Neurospora crassa OR74A: one gene and its partner. The protein of the gene in region 2 purifies or fractionates together with the protein of the main gene of each other region. This does not show direct contact. Links are inferred from orthologs where the notes say so. Each region holds a gene or a part of one and is shown on either strand. Other genes may lie near its edges.

Region 1 (7,305 bases), about 2.3 Mb from region 2:
GGTACCATAGCGTGGCTACACCAAGAGTGCAAGTAAGAACTAGCACCGGGCCGTTCCTTAGCAGAAGGAGACTGACGTGCTTCTTGGAGAGCAGAGTATATGCTGTGTCCCTGGCTTTCTCTCCCAGGTCCTTGCAATAATTCCAAGCTGTTTTTGCAATCAATATCCTATTCGGATACTACCAGTGATAGGAAGGTTTCAGTTTGTTCCAAACGAGCAAACACCTTGATGGCTGTTGACGAATGGAGCAAGTAAACAGCGGGGTAGGCCCGGGCCCGATCGACTCCGTCATCGCAGCGTGGGGTCAGACATGCAGCCGTCATCATAGAGGCACTACTGTAGCTGTTGCCCTACATCAACCCTCTTCATTCCTTCCAATAACTTGCTCCTTCTTCTGGACATCTCAAATCAACATTGCGTCTGCCTTTCAGTTCACCCATTCGACCTCCAATTAACCAGCATCACTGGCAACGTCAACATACGAGGGGCAGACTTCCTTCCACCGAGCAACCTCGCTCAACGCCCACCTGTTTCCAATCACGGACGTCATCGATGAATGGCTAGTAGACTGCCCGTCATCAAGTTGAAGCTCAACATTACCAACAGCTGTTGTCAGAAATCATCACCGCATTCCCAGAGACTCTCTACCATCATCTTTCGTTCTCTGTCGACCAAAGTCCCAAGGCTTCCCGCAACAGCTACCAATCTCGACCAGAAGATCTCCAAAACATCACCACCGCGCTACACCAAACCACCATCCATCAACCGCTGCCTCACCGGCACTACTTCAACCACCTCAACCCCCTCCTCAACAACCGCCACCAAAATGTCCACCTCCACCCCTCAACAATCCAACCGCCAACCACTCCCCTCCACCCCACCCCCCTGGCGCGCCCCCTTTCTCTCCCACCTAACCTCCCTCCCTCCCTCCTCTCGCACCTTCGTTCTCTCCACCCTCCACCCTTTACCCCCTTCCTTATCCTCCACCTCGACCCCGACCCCCGTCTCCTCCACCATCCCCGTCCTCCCCCGCGCCCGCACCTGCGTCTGCCGCAGTCTCTGGGCCCAACTCGAAGCCAACCCGCACAACCCCGCCGAGCTGAACCCTCCCGGCGTGTTCGAAAGCGACATGATCGCCTTCACCACGGACGCCCGCATGGAAAAAGCCGCCGAGATCGTCGACACGGCCTCGGAAGAGCGGATCGAAGCGGGCGGGGAGATGACGGGCGGCGGGGGGCCCGTTGAGGCCGTATTTTGGATTGAGAAGGCTAAAGACGCCCAAACAGGAGAAGACAAAAAAGTGATGACGCAGTGGCGGATCCGTGGATCAGCCTGGCTTTTGGGGCCGGACGTGGACAGTGAAGGGGCCAAGAAGGTGCGGGAGGTGTTGCGGCAGCGGATGCGCAGACTGGAGGGCAAGACACAGGAGGATGAGGAGCAATGGAGCTGGAGCAGGGAGGTTACGGCGCATTTTGGAAATTTGAATCCGGTCATGAGGGGCACGTTTCGCGGGCCGCCGCCGGGACAGCCGGTGGCGTTCCCCCCTGGAAAAGGGGAGGGGTTGGGCCAGGAGGTGGTGGATTTGCAGGATGAGGTAGCCAGAAAGAATTTCAGGGTGGTGGTGATTGTGCCGACCGAGGTGGATCAGGTGGATTTGTCGGATGCGAAGAGGGCGAGGCGGTGGTTGTATTTGTGGAGGGGAAATAGTTATCATGCGAAGGAGGCGGGCGGGGAGGTGCAGGGGGAGTGGGAGAAGGTTGAGGTTTGGCCTTAGAGGGATTGGGATTGGGATTGGTTCGTGATTTGGACTTGAGTGAGTCTTTTAGGTGTGTATTAACAGAGGAATGAATGAATAATTGAACAGTCAACATGCCATGTAACAAACGGATTACAGTGTTGGAGGATAAGTGTCTTGACTTTATGGTAGAGGCTGCGTATAGTTCTGTATTGGTCAATACAATGTCACCAGTCACTGAGTAACTCTTGAGCAATCGAATCAACAGCTCAATAACTCTGATATCTCATGCCCGATTTCAAAAGGGATTGACGAAACTTTCTTTCAGTCAGCATCCAAACACCTGAATGTTGATGATTCAGCCAGGGGCTACTTCTAGCTCAGATAAGCACTCTAATATAGTAGACTCCGTGGTGAATATACCCATTAGCAAACACAGTACCCAACTGCTCTAATCTCTCTTGTCTCAAAATTTCATAATGATAGCTCGGATATTCTCTTGTCGGTATATATCTCAAGCTACTTAGTACAAAAGCCACTCCGTAACGCCTTTCTTTCTTTGTCCTCTTTTGAATTCGAAAGAACAGAAACTGATTTCCCTGTATCCCCCATGATGCTAGAATAGTTAAGAAAAAGAAAAACGCCCAAGTGTTTTGTATTACACAACCGAACCCCTAACCCCTTCCTCCCTGTCCCGCTGGTGGCTGCCGTGCTTTCACTTCTTTCTTGCTTCGCTGCTGGCCGTCATCGTCCCCTTCCCAAGGCTTCTTATCCAGTCCTCGTCCATATAGTCATCAACTGATTCCCACCAGCCAGACCCGCGTTGGCCCGTCGAAGACCGTCCAGAGAACAAATCAAGCCTGGGGAGAGATTGGATGGATTGGTGTAGTGCCCTCCAGCCAGCCAGCCAGCCAGCCAGCCCAGCTTTGCCAACCGCACGCAACCACCCCCTTCTCTCACGCACACACGCTTGCCCCCCTTATACGCAAAGCCTGTAAGAAGCATAGCGACCCGCCGTCTCCGACACACGAATGATCTTGACGACCTGGCCCCTCTTGAGTCCCAGATACCGCGCAATCGGATCCTTGCTCAGAATTCTCGGCAGCTGCGTCTCCTTGAGTCGGTACCGCTTGAGGAGCGCGGCCTTCTCCTCCTTGGACAGCAACACGTGCTTGGGCACGAGCTCGTGGTGCGTGATGTTGACCAGCAGGTCCTCCTCCAGGAAGCACTCGACCTGTGTGTACTGCGAGGTGACGGACATGACCTTGCGGGCCTGGGCAGAAAGCGGGACGGCGGTGATGAAGATGCCGGCTTTGAACTTGTTGTCGGAGCAGTGGGTGACAAATTTCTTCATGACGGACACGCCGATGGAGCCCTTTTCGGTGCAGAACTCGACCCAGATGGTGCCGCATTCGGGAACGGGGTTGGGGTTGGAGGGCGTGGGAGGGGCGGTGAACTTTTTGATCATGGCTTCCGAGGGGCGGGCGGAGAATTGGAGCTTGGCGCGGCTGTGGTTTGGTGTCGTCATGTTAGTCTGGTGGGGAGGTGATAGTGGTTTGAGGTTTGAAATGCGACGCGTAAAGTGGTGGTGATGGAGGGGTGATGGGTGCCGACGCAGGAACTCACTTTGGTGTTCCATCCTCGTTCGTGTATTCAGCCTTGAACCGCTCGAGCGAGATCTTGACTTCGTCTTCCGCCAACTCGTAGCCCTATAGTCGAGAAGCACATGTACATGTCAGAATAGGTCGAATCATTCTGGGCGATGGCGCGTCGAGCAAGCGCCGTGATAAGGATGGATGGCGTACCCTGTCCTGAACCATCTCGTGAACAGTCCTCCAGGCCCTCCACAGACGGGAGACTTCCTTGGAGGCACTGGTGGGGCTGCTGTCGTCCTCCATTTTGACTGTGTGTGTTGGGCAGTCGATTGAAGTGTAGTGTTTGTCGTCGCGGAGTGGTGGTGATGTGGAGGTTGCGCAGGTGAGGTGGTGGTTCGCGATGGTGGATGGCGTGTTGGTGGATTGATAGCTTGGAGGACTTTCCTGTTTACGAGGCTGAAGGACAAAGGCTCTCAAAAAATTGCGGGAAGGGTGGGTGTCGCCGAAAACCAGAGGCGTGGCCGCATTGATCAGACCTAACGCCCGGGCACTCCAGGATTCCACGCCGGCCGATAAGAGATGGATGGGTCCACAGTGAGCCGGAGGCTGCCTTCACCCCTGTGAGACACTACAAGTAAGCGCGCAGATGGTCTGTGCTGTTGACCGTTGACCGGCTTCTGATTCAGGCAGGCAGTTTGTTGAAGTCGTGAAAGACCTAGGAGGAACAGTGATGGCGTGCGCTGGTTTTATGCATGACTGGAAAAGCGGACATACACTTCAAGTTGCGTTTCCGGTACATACATGATAGTACACAAAATTAATTCTCCTCGGCCAACTACCTATATAAACCTCTTCCATGATCCATATATGTTCCATGAGGGACATTGCTGGGCAAAGTGAAGTGAACTTAGTGAAGAGCCAATTCAACCTATCATCATCATCCTCCAACCAACCAACCAACCAACCAACCAACCAACCAGCGCACCATATGTACTTGGTAGGGTAGGTAGTAGCGCACAGGCCAAGACGGTGACACGCGTGACACGGTGTCGGGGAAAGGCCACGATCTGCAGATCTGGAACACGCCTGAAGCGGGACAAATTTTGGAATTTTTTGGAACTGGCGACGGGACTGTGAATTGAGGGTTCAAAGTGACCAAAGTTAGGTTAGTTCCCGTTCAATTGTCAATTTGGATGCGGGCAAAACAGATCAGGCATTGACAGCACCCGCACTACCTAGCCATTGTTCTCCCCAGGGCAGTCTGGACCCCATCTTCCACTACACATCCACATAACCACATCTCAAAGCAGCGATTACCCCAGAGGTACATCCTATCCTACAGGACCCGAACAGCGGTCCTCGGACGTGCACTGCCTTCCACTTCCCATCCTTCCTCAGGTCGCCCGCGGCTGTTCTACACTAAGTAGCTCTCCAACCAACCTACCCACCGGCTCCGACCCACGCCCCCCGGTTGCCTAGTCCCCCTTCCCCGTCTTTATCTTACTATTCCCTTCCTTTCGTCTCTTCTTCCTTCTTCTTTTTTTCCTTCAGCAACCCCCAACACCACACACAATGGCCGAGTCGCAATCCCCCGCTGCCGCCCCTGCGGCCACCACCAAGCCTCACAAGCCTGATCAGGATGCCTTCAACGAGAACCTCGCCAAGGCCGAGAAGGAGTATCAGGAGGCCCTGAAGAAATACGTGAGTCCCCTGCCCTGGCCGCTACCAAGAGCGCATCTACCCGATACCGTGGAGTCAGAGCACCCGCCCTCGCACTCACGATGCACCCTGCCGTCCACGCCACCCTCACCACCACCACGTCTTTTGCTACTAGAAGCTGCTGCCTCCAATTGCCATGTGACAAGGCCAGACTAACCAATTGTCCTTGAATCCAGAACGAGATCAAGGCCAAGGTTGAGCTCGCCGCTCCTAGCAAGAACAAGGACCAGCCCAGCCCCACCCAGAAGAAGCGCCAGGAGCTCATCTCCCAGCTCAACGAGATCCGTCAGCAGCAGGCCGGTGGCAAGAATGCCCGCACCTCCAAGCTCGACCAGATCAAGCGCCTCGATGAGCAGCTCCGCAGCCGCATTGCCGAGCAAAAGACTGCCCGCAGCAAGGTCAACTTCAAGTCCACCGAGGAACTCGACCGCGAGATTGAGCGCCTGGAGAAGGAGGTCAACGGCGGCATGATGAAGCTCGTCGACGAGAAGAAGGCCCTCGCCGAGATCTCCAACCTCCGCAAGCAGCGCAAGAGCTTTGCTGGCTTCGACGATGCCCAGAAGCAGATCGACGACCTCAAGGCCAAGATCAAGGAGATCAAGGACAGCTTGGAGGACCCCGAGGCCAAGGCCCTCAGCGAAAAGTACAACAAGCTCCAGGCCGAGCTTGACGCCATCAAGGCCGAGCAGGACGAGGCCTACAAGAACCTCTCCAGCCTGCGCGACGAGCGCACCAAGCTCCAGCAGCTCCAGTCTGAAAAGTACCAGGCCATCAAGAAGCTCAAGGATGAGTACTACGGCGCTAAGAAGGAGTTCGCCAAGTGGGAGCGTGAGCAGCGCGAGAAGGCTCGCGAGAGACAGCAGGCCGAGCGTGAGCGCATCGCCAAGGAGCGCCGCATGGAGCGTGCCCAGAAGATGCTTGCCGAGGCTTCTGACCCCGCCTACCTCGAGGAGATCCGCCGTGCCAACTCTCTCCTCAAGTACTTCGACCCCAGCCACGAGGTCGCCGAGAAGGCTCCTCTCCTGGCCGACAAGGGTCTCGGTGCCCAGGCTCTTCGTAAGGTTGACGACTCTGGCCTCAAGGGCATGAAGCTCGTCCGCAAGGAGGAGCGTGATGACGACTACCTCCCTGCCGTCAAGAAGGGCAAGAAGTCCAAGAAGCCCACCGGTGCTGCCCCTGTCGCCACCGGCAAGACCTTCAGCCTCCCTCCCTCGGTCATTGAGGACTGCAGCTTCGTCGGTGTCGAGCCCCCCATGGCTGCTACCGATATCCCTGCTGCCGTCGAGAAGATCAAGGCCAAGCTCGAGCAGTGGAAGGCTGACCAGCCTGAGCAGACTCGCAAGGTATGTTGATATTGTTTCGTTCCTGTTGAACTAGCCGTTGCTAACAATGCCGCTTGCAGAACATTGAGAAGGCCAAGAAGGAGATTGAGCGCCTCGAGGCTGAGGAGGCCGGTGAGGCTTCCGGCTCTGCCACCCCCAAGAAGGCCGTCGAGGAGGTCACCGAGGGCGTCAAGAACGCCACCATTGAAGAGAAGACTGAGGCTGTCGAGGCTTCCGCATAGAAGCGCCGCCATCGACGTCACGGATCGTCTCGTTCTCTGACATTTGGGAAGCCATGATTTGAGGGGGACCAGGACTCCGACGAGGTTCAGGTTGCCAGGTTAAGCGGGTATTTGGGTCCTGTCATCCCTCTTTTTCATCCCTACCACTACCGTCCGTTGCCCACAACGACGTCACAGCCGTGTCAGATGTTGTGCGCATCTATCCCGGCACATTATCATTCGCATATATATCGCCGATATTCATCCTTTTTTTTGCCTTAGTGGTTGGTCTCTTCAGTTATCACCACCCTGGTCTGTTCCATCAAATGTTGTTAGCATGCTTTTTGGGGTACAGAAAAGGGGGGAAATGTTCGGGAATTCAAAATACGGGGTGGCATTCTTAACTCAACCTCACCTTCACACGCAAAAGACTTTAATAGCTGGACTCGTCCGAACCTGCTCCCTAACGTATAAGGTATCGAGGTGATGTTTCTGGTGGTTGGTGAACATAAGGGAATCGAAAAACGAAGGACAGCACGCAAACTGAGGTATCGCAGGCCCCGAAACAAAGCACGGCCAGGTGTGGGAGTGGAAGAGACTGGCGGGAACATGTGAAAAGGACTCTTGGGATAGCTTAGATACGAGAGTGGAAAACAAGAGGGACATTGATACCCATCTTCCACACTCGCACTTCCATACCTCCTCCTGACCGT
Region 2 (7,242 bases):
GTTGATGGTTTATGGAGGATGCTGCAGTGGAGTGACGTATTTTAGCGGGATACTCAAAAGCGCCAATTGCTGCTTACACTAACCGCAAGAGGTAATATTCCATTCCATATCTTTATCAGCAACCTCACTTCGATCTGATCCCACGATAACCATCTACCCAACAAGCATTGAACCTTTTATTGAGGTAAAGATGCATGAGATTATCCACATGGCCACGGTAGTGGTCCTCTTACTATACGTCAACGTTATCAACATCCTGTTGCATAGCTTGGTCATTTCACTTTTAGACTTCTACCGTTTACCACCGGTACTAGATGTGTAATGTCTTGAGCCACCCTCACCACTGACTGTACGACACAGCAGCAAAACGGTAGCCGCTGGCACACTTTATGTGATATCAACGGGAAGATATTCAAACGAAGCCTAAGCTTAGCTGCACGGAAAGCCGTTTGCAGTTTTCAGAGTGTTGATGACTGATAACCCTCCGATGGATAGGAAGAATCGAAAGTCCAGTCTTTGTGCTGCCAACTATGATAATGCTCCCAGATCATCTTTATACACCCGTCTTCCGAGTTGATATAGGCTCAAGAATCATCTCGATTTCGATTCTTAACAACCATCGGTACAATGATTGCGTTCGGGAGAGAAGAGGAAGAGTAACTTTAGCAAGAGAATGTTTGGCAGTCAAGTATGCAGTTGCATTTGATATTCCACCATAGCACATCACGCACATACTGTGATGAATGGGTGTGACACTAATTTAAGTCTTGCTGCCTGGAAGTGCTGCAGAGGATATTTGGTTAGGCCTACGGGACAATGCTCTCTCAACTTGGCGCCTGCAAAGTGAAGAATTACATTGATCTTATCGAACCTTCAAGTGCCTTGACAATGAACCAGCACGCTAACTCCTCTTTTTCCCGTCCAAGTCTTCATCATCACATAAAGTCAAAAGTCTGTACACATATTATAGCAAAGAAAAAAGCGAATGGGTATTTGAAGAACCAAGTAAAAAAAACAAGATATAGCCACCTGCCTGTCTATCATCCAATGTCAAGCCACATTGGAAAAAAAAAATGAAAAAAAAAAACCTGTTAAATTCGTTCCTGTTCCATCACCTTGTGTATGTGTTCTTATACAGCTGCTGAGCCTGTGGACTGTGTCCATACTGGTTGCCGGGAACTTTCAACGGGTCCACGGGACCGTAATCCGCTGGATTATACGGAGCGTAGTGAGACGGATGCGGGATACGCGGGTCTAATTTCTTCAAAGCCTCCTCCCTGTGCTCCTCGGACGTTTCCTGGTGAGTCTGTAGTCCAAAATTCTTGTCCAAAGCGGGAGACGGGAACCCGCTGCGTAATGATGGGTTCGGGCTTGCTTGTGGCCGGTCGGACGAGTATGACTGACTGGAATTTCGGTTGGAGGATGACAGAGATTGAGGCTGAAGGTTTGATGGGGCGTGGTAGAAGTCGCCTGGCATCTCAATCGGACCATTTGAGACCGGTTCAGGGTTGGTGACAGACAGCTCCTGTGGTCCATTCGGGGTTCCATAGCCGAAAGCAGCTGGTGCCTTTCCGTAGCTGTTAGGACGGTGGTAGGATCCAGGAGTACTTGACCGGTGTTGACTGGGAGTAGCAGATAGCGGTCGCGGGATCTGGTAGGGAATACCGGGAGACTGAGGTGGTGTACCAGAGGCCGATGAGCTGGCAAATGTGGGCGAAAACTGAGGGCCCGGAGAAGCCACCGCCGGTCGTCGGACTGTATTCCTCTTGTCGGCCGGGTTGAACGTCTTCAGCTTTCCGTCCTCGATCATAGCCTGAAGCACGCCAGCATCCAGTAACTCAGCCTTCTTGATGATGCGTCTCACCATTTCCCCACCCGCCTTCTTCATTTGCGACTTGACAAAGCTCATGACAGTGCGACTGCACTTGATCTCAATATCCTCACGGAGATATAACCCATCCGACGGTGCCCCAAGAGCTGATAACCCCATCTCAAGTGGCTCTGGAGGCTCAAAGTTTGGTTGATTACCGGCGATGCGATAGGTGTTGCGAAGGTCAACGTTCATGGGGGCGTATATGTGAGTCTGAAGACCCCACGGCATGTCGTGAAAGCAGCCATTGAACTTGATGGTTGTAGCCCCCATCCTCCCAATTCCAGGCAGAATCGTGACTCGTTCGGTGATCTCATACCATGTCGCATAATACTCGTCTGTTTCTGCATCCTGGGGGGCCGCGATGGGCTTGTGGTCGAGGACAAGAGGGTTAAGAGTAATGACTTCAGAATGAGAATGAAGGATGTCGATGGCCAACTGTCGTGGAATGAAGCCCGGGATGGGCGTGATAACGGTGAAGGCTTCCTTCTTGCGCAACATGGTGGACATTGGATGCTGTGGGTAGATATGTAACACCGATAAATGAAAGTTTATTCACCTCTATAGAGGTGTGGGCAGGGTATAGTAGCCGATCTCCGAAGCCTGGATTTGATGAGTCGCTGGAATTTGGCCCAAGTCGGATGATGAATCTGGCCCTGGTGTGGGACGAGAGACGAAACAAGAGAGGAAGTGGGAGGGAGAGAATTCAAACGGATCTTGGGGGTCAGCTTGGAGTATAATGGATAGAACGTGGTAGAGGTAGGTTGGTAGGGCTGAGTATCATGAGGGGCAGCCTGTGGATGGCCGCTTGGTTCCCGGCCACGCTGCCTCCTGGTAGTGCCGAACAGACGGATCTTGCCATTACGTTTGTGGCTTATTGGACCAACCCAGCTCCCATCACCCACCATTTTGAAGAGAATTTTGACGCAATAAGAGGCCACCGGCTGCGCCCACTCCCCAGCGCGGGACCACCGACCATACGCTTAGCATGGGTTTAGCGGTCATTGGCATTGGTGAATCGCCCCCGCCAGCATCCTGCCTATAGTTCCTGACCTTTTCCGAAGATGACGTGAGACGCCTTTTCTCCCATCGCTTATCCCGGTCTCGTTCAGCAGTATCAAATTGCCACTCGACGACTCCCCGAATTGTCCAAAAAGCATCCGTATCCGGCTTCATTGCTAGGCGTGAAAGGATTAGTTGAAACTGGACAAGTGGACAGACTTCATTGAACAATAGCCTGTGAGGTCGATGAAGCCTTCGGGGCTTGTCTGCCCGCGGCAAGTGCTATGCCATCCAGCCGTTGAGATCCTAAAATATCCAGGCACCCATAATACCGGGGTATAACTTGAAGAGCGGGACCGCCAAGTTACTAGGTCGAGTGTCGACTAGCTACTGCGGCGGTTGAGGGCTGTGGTATTCGCGGATTAACAGCGGCTCGGCTGAAAACAAGAAGCTGTCAAGCAGGCCATATGGGCTTTTGATATAGGCATGATAACAGGGTATAGGTCGCCAACTGATTTAGTTCCAAATTGGTAAAAAGATGATGGATGAGATGCGAGCCGGCCAGATATGGATTGGATGTCGAGGAACATGAAGGCGTAGGTAGTTGGAAGATGAATGGGTGAGAGGATGAAAAGAGACCAATGTCGAGGTTTCAGTCATTTCACTTTGGGGAAAACAAAATGCCAAGCCTTACCTACCCTTCACCCCACCCATGCCTTGATGGATGGAACCTTTCCGCCCGCTACGCCAGGCGATCAATGGACTTTGGTTTTTTTTTGTTTTTTTTTTTCTCTTGCGGTGTTGCCCCTCTGTGGCCCTCGGACATTCACTCCGTCGCAACCACCTATGACCATCCCTACAGCAGTGACCCCGCCGCTTACGACATCCGTGAAACTTTCTTCCCGAGACTCATTACAACACCATCTCTGCGCAAACTGAAATCTGCAACAACTTTGATTTTATCCGACAGATAACACAGAGATCACCAAACGATCTTCCACGCACCCGTGCACAGCTGTCGCACCATGGCTTCGACTTCGGCATCGTCTGCCGCCAAGGCTGACCAGCCTGTTGCCATCGTCTGCGTTGGCATGGCAGGTAGGTCTACGCATGCTCATGTTCTGTGCTTTTCCCAACCGCAAGCGGAATCATCCAGCTGACCATGTTCCCCAGGATCCGGCAAGACAACCTTTATGCAACAGATCAATGCCCATCTCCACGGAAAGAAGGAGCCTCCTTATGTCATCAACCTCGACCCAGCAGTCACCCACTCGCCCTTCGAGAGCAACATTGACATCCGCGACTCGGTCAACTACAAGGAGGTGATGAAGCAGTACAACCTCGGCCCCAACGGCGGCATTCTCACATCGCTGAACCTCTTTGCCACCAAAGTCGACCAGGTTCTCGGCCTGCTCGAGAAGCGCACGGCGCCCAAGCCCGACGACCCGACGCACACGCCCATCAAGCACATTCTCGTCGACACGCCGGGCCAGATCGAGGTGTTCGTCTGGTCCGCGTCGGGCCAGATTCTCCTTGAGTCGCTCGCCTCATCCTTCCCCACCGTCATCGCCTACATCATCGACACCCCCCGGACGAGCTCGACGTCGACCTTCATGAGCAACATGCTGTACGCCTGCAGTATCCTTTACAAGACCAAGCTGCCCATGATTCTGGTCTTCAACAAGTCGGACGTTAAGGACCCGGCTTTTGCAAAGGAGTGGATGACCGACTATGATGCGTTCCAGGCTGCGCTGCAGGAGGACGAGACCAACAACGCGTTTGGCGGAGCGGAGGGCAGCGGCGATGGCATGGGCTCGGGCAGCGGATACATGGGCTCGCTGTTGAACAGCATGAGTCTGATGTTGGAGGAGTTTTACGCACATCTGAACGTGGTGGGCGTCAGTTCGCTGTACGGGACGGGCATTGACGAGTTCTTTGCCGCGGTTCAGGAGAAGGCAGAGGAGTTCAAGCGCGATTACCAGCCTGAGCTCGAGAGGAGGCGCGAAGAAAGGGAGGAGAACAAGAAGAAGGCGCGGGAGAGGGAACTCAACAAAATGATGAAGGGAATGTCGATGGGCGACGCGGCGGGCGACGTCACAGTGGGTGACGTCAATGATAAAGAGGCCCCCGAGCCGTTGAGCACGGACGAGGAGAGCAGCGACGAGGAATATGGTGACGATCCCAACGACGAGTATGACCGCGAGGGATTGCAGGCGAGGTACGCCGCTGCCATGCAGGGCGAGGATGATTCGGTTTTGGCCGACGCAAGTTTTGCAAAGTACCTCCACAGCCAGAGGTGATGAGATTGGCCATTGGTAAGGAAAGGATTTATGGAGCAGTGTTGGCAAGACAAGTGATCGAGAGGGAAGGAGATTTAGCATACAACCGGCGTTTTCAGAGTGATACCATACCAATATTCTATATGGCAAAAAACATGATCAATAATGAGAAGCATCACAGAACGGATCCATCTGATGGTGATAGGTGATGATGACGATGATGAAAAGCAATGCTTTCTTTGTATAAATTCCCACAAGTCTACCGATATTTCCCAGAACGCCGCCATCATGATATTGTGATGAATATGATATCTCCCTTCTTCTGATCACAACAAGCCGTAGGTTCAAGGCTGGGCCATGCTAAGCCACCGCTAATGGTGCAAAATCACACCAAGATATCGACGGTTCGAGTCTCCTACGGTCCCAGCTCCCCTCGACAAATGTTCCCGTTGCCTCCAAGGCTGACTCGGCTCCCGTCCTTGGGCATCAGGACATCCCGGCCGGTCCAAATACGATGAAAACTTCAGCCCGATACGGCATCGAGGAAGAGCGACCCCTTTCTACACCTCCTTTGTTGGCCCCAAGTCGAACAAAGTCGAATAAGAAACCATTTACCGAGCCTCGAACTGAACCATTCTATTACCCCCAGACCGTCGTTAGCATAAGATTTTTCTCTCCCACCTTCTCAGAATCTTCCACCGGGTAAGCCCAAAGAAAACGTACCTCTTGGTGCGCTCCTTATACAAAACACGCGCACCGCACTTCTGGCAACGGATAGGAGCGCCCTTCTCGAGCGGCACGCGGACCGCGCAGTCGCCGCAAGTGTACCACATGACGCTGCTGCCACCGCTGTTGCCGTCGTTGTTAGAGGCACCGGTGGTGAAGCCCTGGGAGTTGGGGACCTGGTATTGCTCGCGGGAAGACATCTTGGTTGTTTGTGTTGTGTTGAGGGTGGTGTGGTATTTGTGGTTTGGGTTTGTTTGTCGTCGGGTTTGCTCGGATAAATTGGATGACGGTTATGCAACGTGTAAGATTGTCTTTGTGTTGAGGCGACGACAAATCGATGTTATGCGATTTATAGCGATATGCGACGATGATGTCGTTCGGTTGATGATGATGATGATGTTGAATATTTACCGGTGGAGTGGTTTGCGACGGACGAGAGGGACGGAGCGCTACCTATACAGGCGACTGAGTTTCAACTGGACGCGAACAACGAAAGGTAAAAAAAGGCGGGACGCTGAGGCAGAAAGTTCCAGACTTTGACAAAGGGTGACAGAAGCAGGCGGCGTTCGGACTTTGCGAATGCAAGTTACCCCTGTCATATCATGATAAATTCTCCACTCTTCTGTGGGTAGCTGTCAGCGCGGCAGGCAATTCCCCCACGTTTTCGGCGGAGTTTGGAGGCCGAGGTTGTTCGCGGCAGCCCTGGCGCCTCACCACTGCACACCACCGGGTCGATGCCCGCCGGCAAGCGGAGGTAAGACAGGGACGGGGAACGGGCCCGGTGCTTCACTTGTGTTTGGCTTTGGGGTCTTTTCAGATGCCGCCCCGGACCTCTCGTCCCGTACTTCACTGAGCTACTATTTAGTCATCAGCTAGAAATCATCATACAAGAGTCATTAGTGGTGTTTCCTTTTCGGATTTGTCACGGAGCAAGGCGTTCTTCTTGATTATTTGTTTGACATTCTGTCGCATTGGTCCTTGGTTACGGGGCGTACTCAGCAAACAATCATTCTCGGCATCATTACATAGCGAGATCAGCTTCACTCCTAGCCCTTGTCGAGATTTCCCTTGAGTATTTCTTCAGTTCAAGTTTAACTCGGGGCTCTTCGACATATACAATCGTTCAAACACATCACTACGTCATACGCCAGACTGCAGCCATGGCCTCTTCAACCGACAAGAAGCCACCAGCAACACCAGTTCCACGCTCCATCGTCCCCGACGCCAACACTTTCGACCCCAGCCTTCCCGCCTCCAAGACAGGCGCCGGCGCCACTAACACCTCATCCTCATCCTCCTCCGATACCCAACCCAACTGTCCCTTCTGCCACATCTCCTCGACCTTCCCCCCCTACCCCCCTACCA

What was found. Proteins that work in one complex are often made in the same cells at the same time.
Region 1: the proteins of NCU04507 (region 2) and NCU05305 purify together in Saccharomyces cerevisiae (affinity purification with mass spectrometry, with the first as the bait; 3 studies listed by BioGRID). This does not show direct contact. The link is inferred for Neurospora crassa OR74A from reciprocal best matches to the Saccharomyces cerevisiae genes NPA3 and RPB5.

The regions. Positions count from the first base shown.
Region 1 is NC_026504.1:5,393,964-5,401,268, forward strand, and holds NCU05305 (DNA-directed RNA polymerase II polypeptide), read right to left. Parts: upstream 3,876-7,305; 5' UTR 3,634-3,875; coding exon 3,541-3,633; intron 3,445-3,540; coding exon 3,362-3,444; intron 3,244-3,361; coding exon 2,715-3,243; 3' UTR 2,095-2,714; downstream 1-2,094. Other genes in the region: NCU05306 (hypothetical protein), read left to right, coding at 557-1,774; NCU05304 (nuclear segregation protein), read left to right, coding at 4,903-5,031, 5,226-6,392, 6,452-6,613. UniProt on the Saccharomyces cerevisiae protein: DNA-dependent RNA polymerases catalyze the transcription of DNA into RNA using the four ribonucleoside triphosphates as substrates.
Region 2 is NC_026504.1:3,141,281-3,148,522, reverse strand, and holds NCU04507 (ATP binding protein), read left to right. Parts: upstream 1-3,650; 5' UTR 3,651-3,897; coding exon 3,898-3,970; intron 3,971-4,045; coding exon 4,046-5,172; 3' UTR 5,173-5,342; downstream 5,343-7,242. Other genes in the region: NCU04506 (hypothetical protein), read right to left, coding at 1,112-2,380; NCU04508 (hypothetical protein), read right to left, coding at 5,763-5,787, 5,875-6,077; NCU04509 (HIT domain-containing protein), read left to right, coding at 7,038-7,242. UniProt on the Saccharomyces cerevisiae protein: Small GTPase required for proper nuclear import of RNA polymerase II (RNAPII). May act at an RNAP assembly step prior to nuclear import. Promotes sister chromatid separation during anaphase.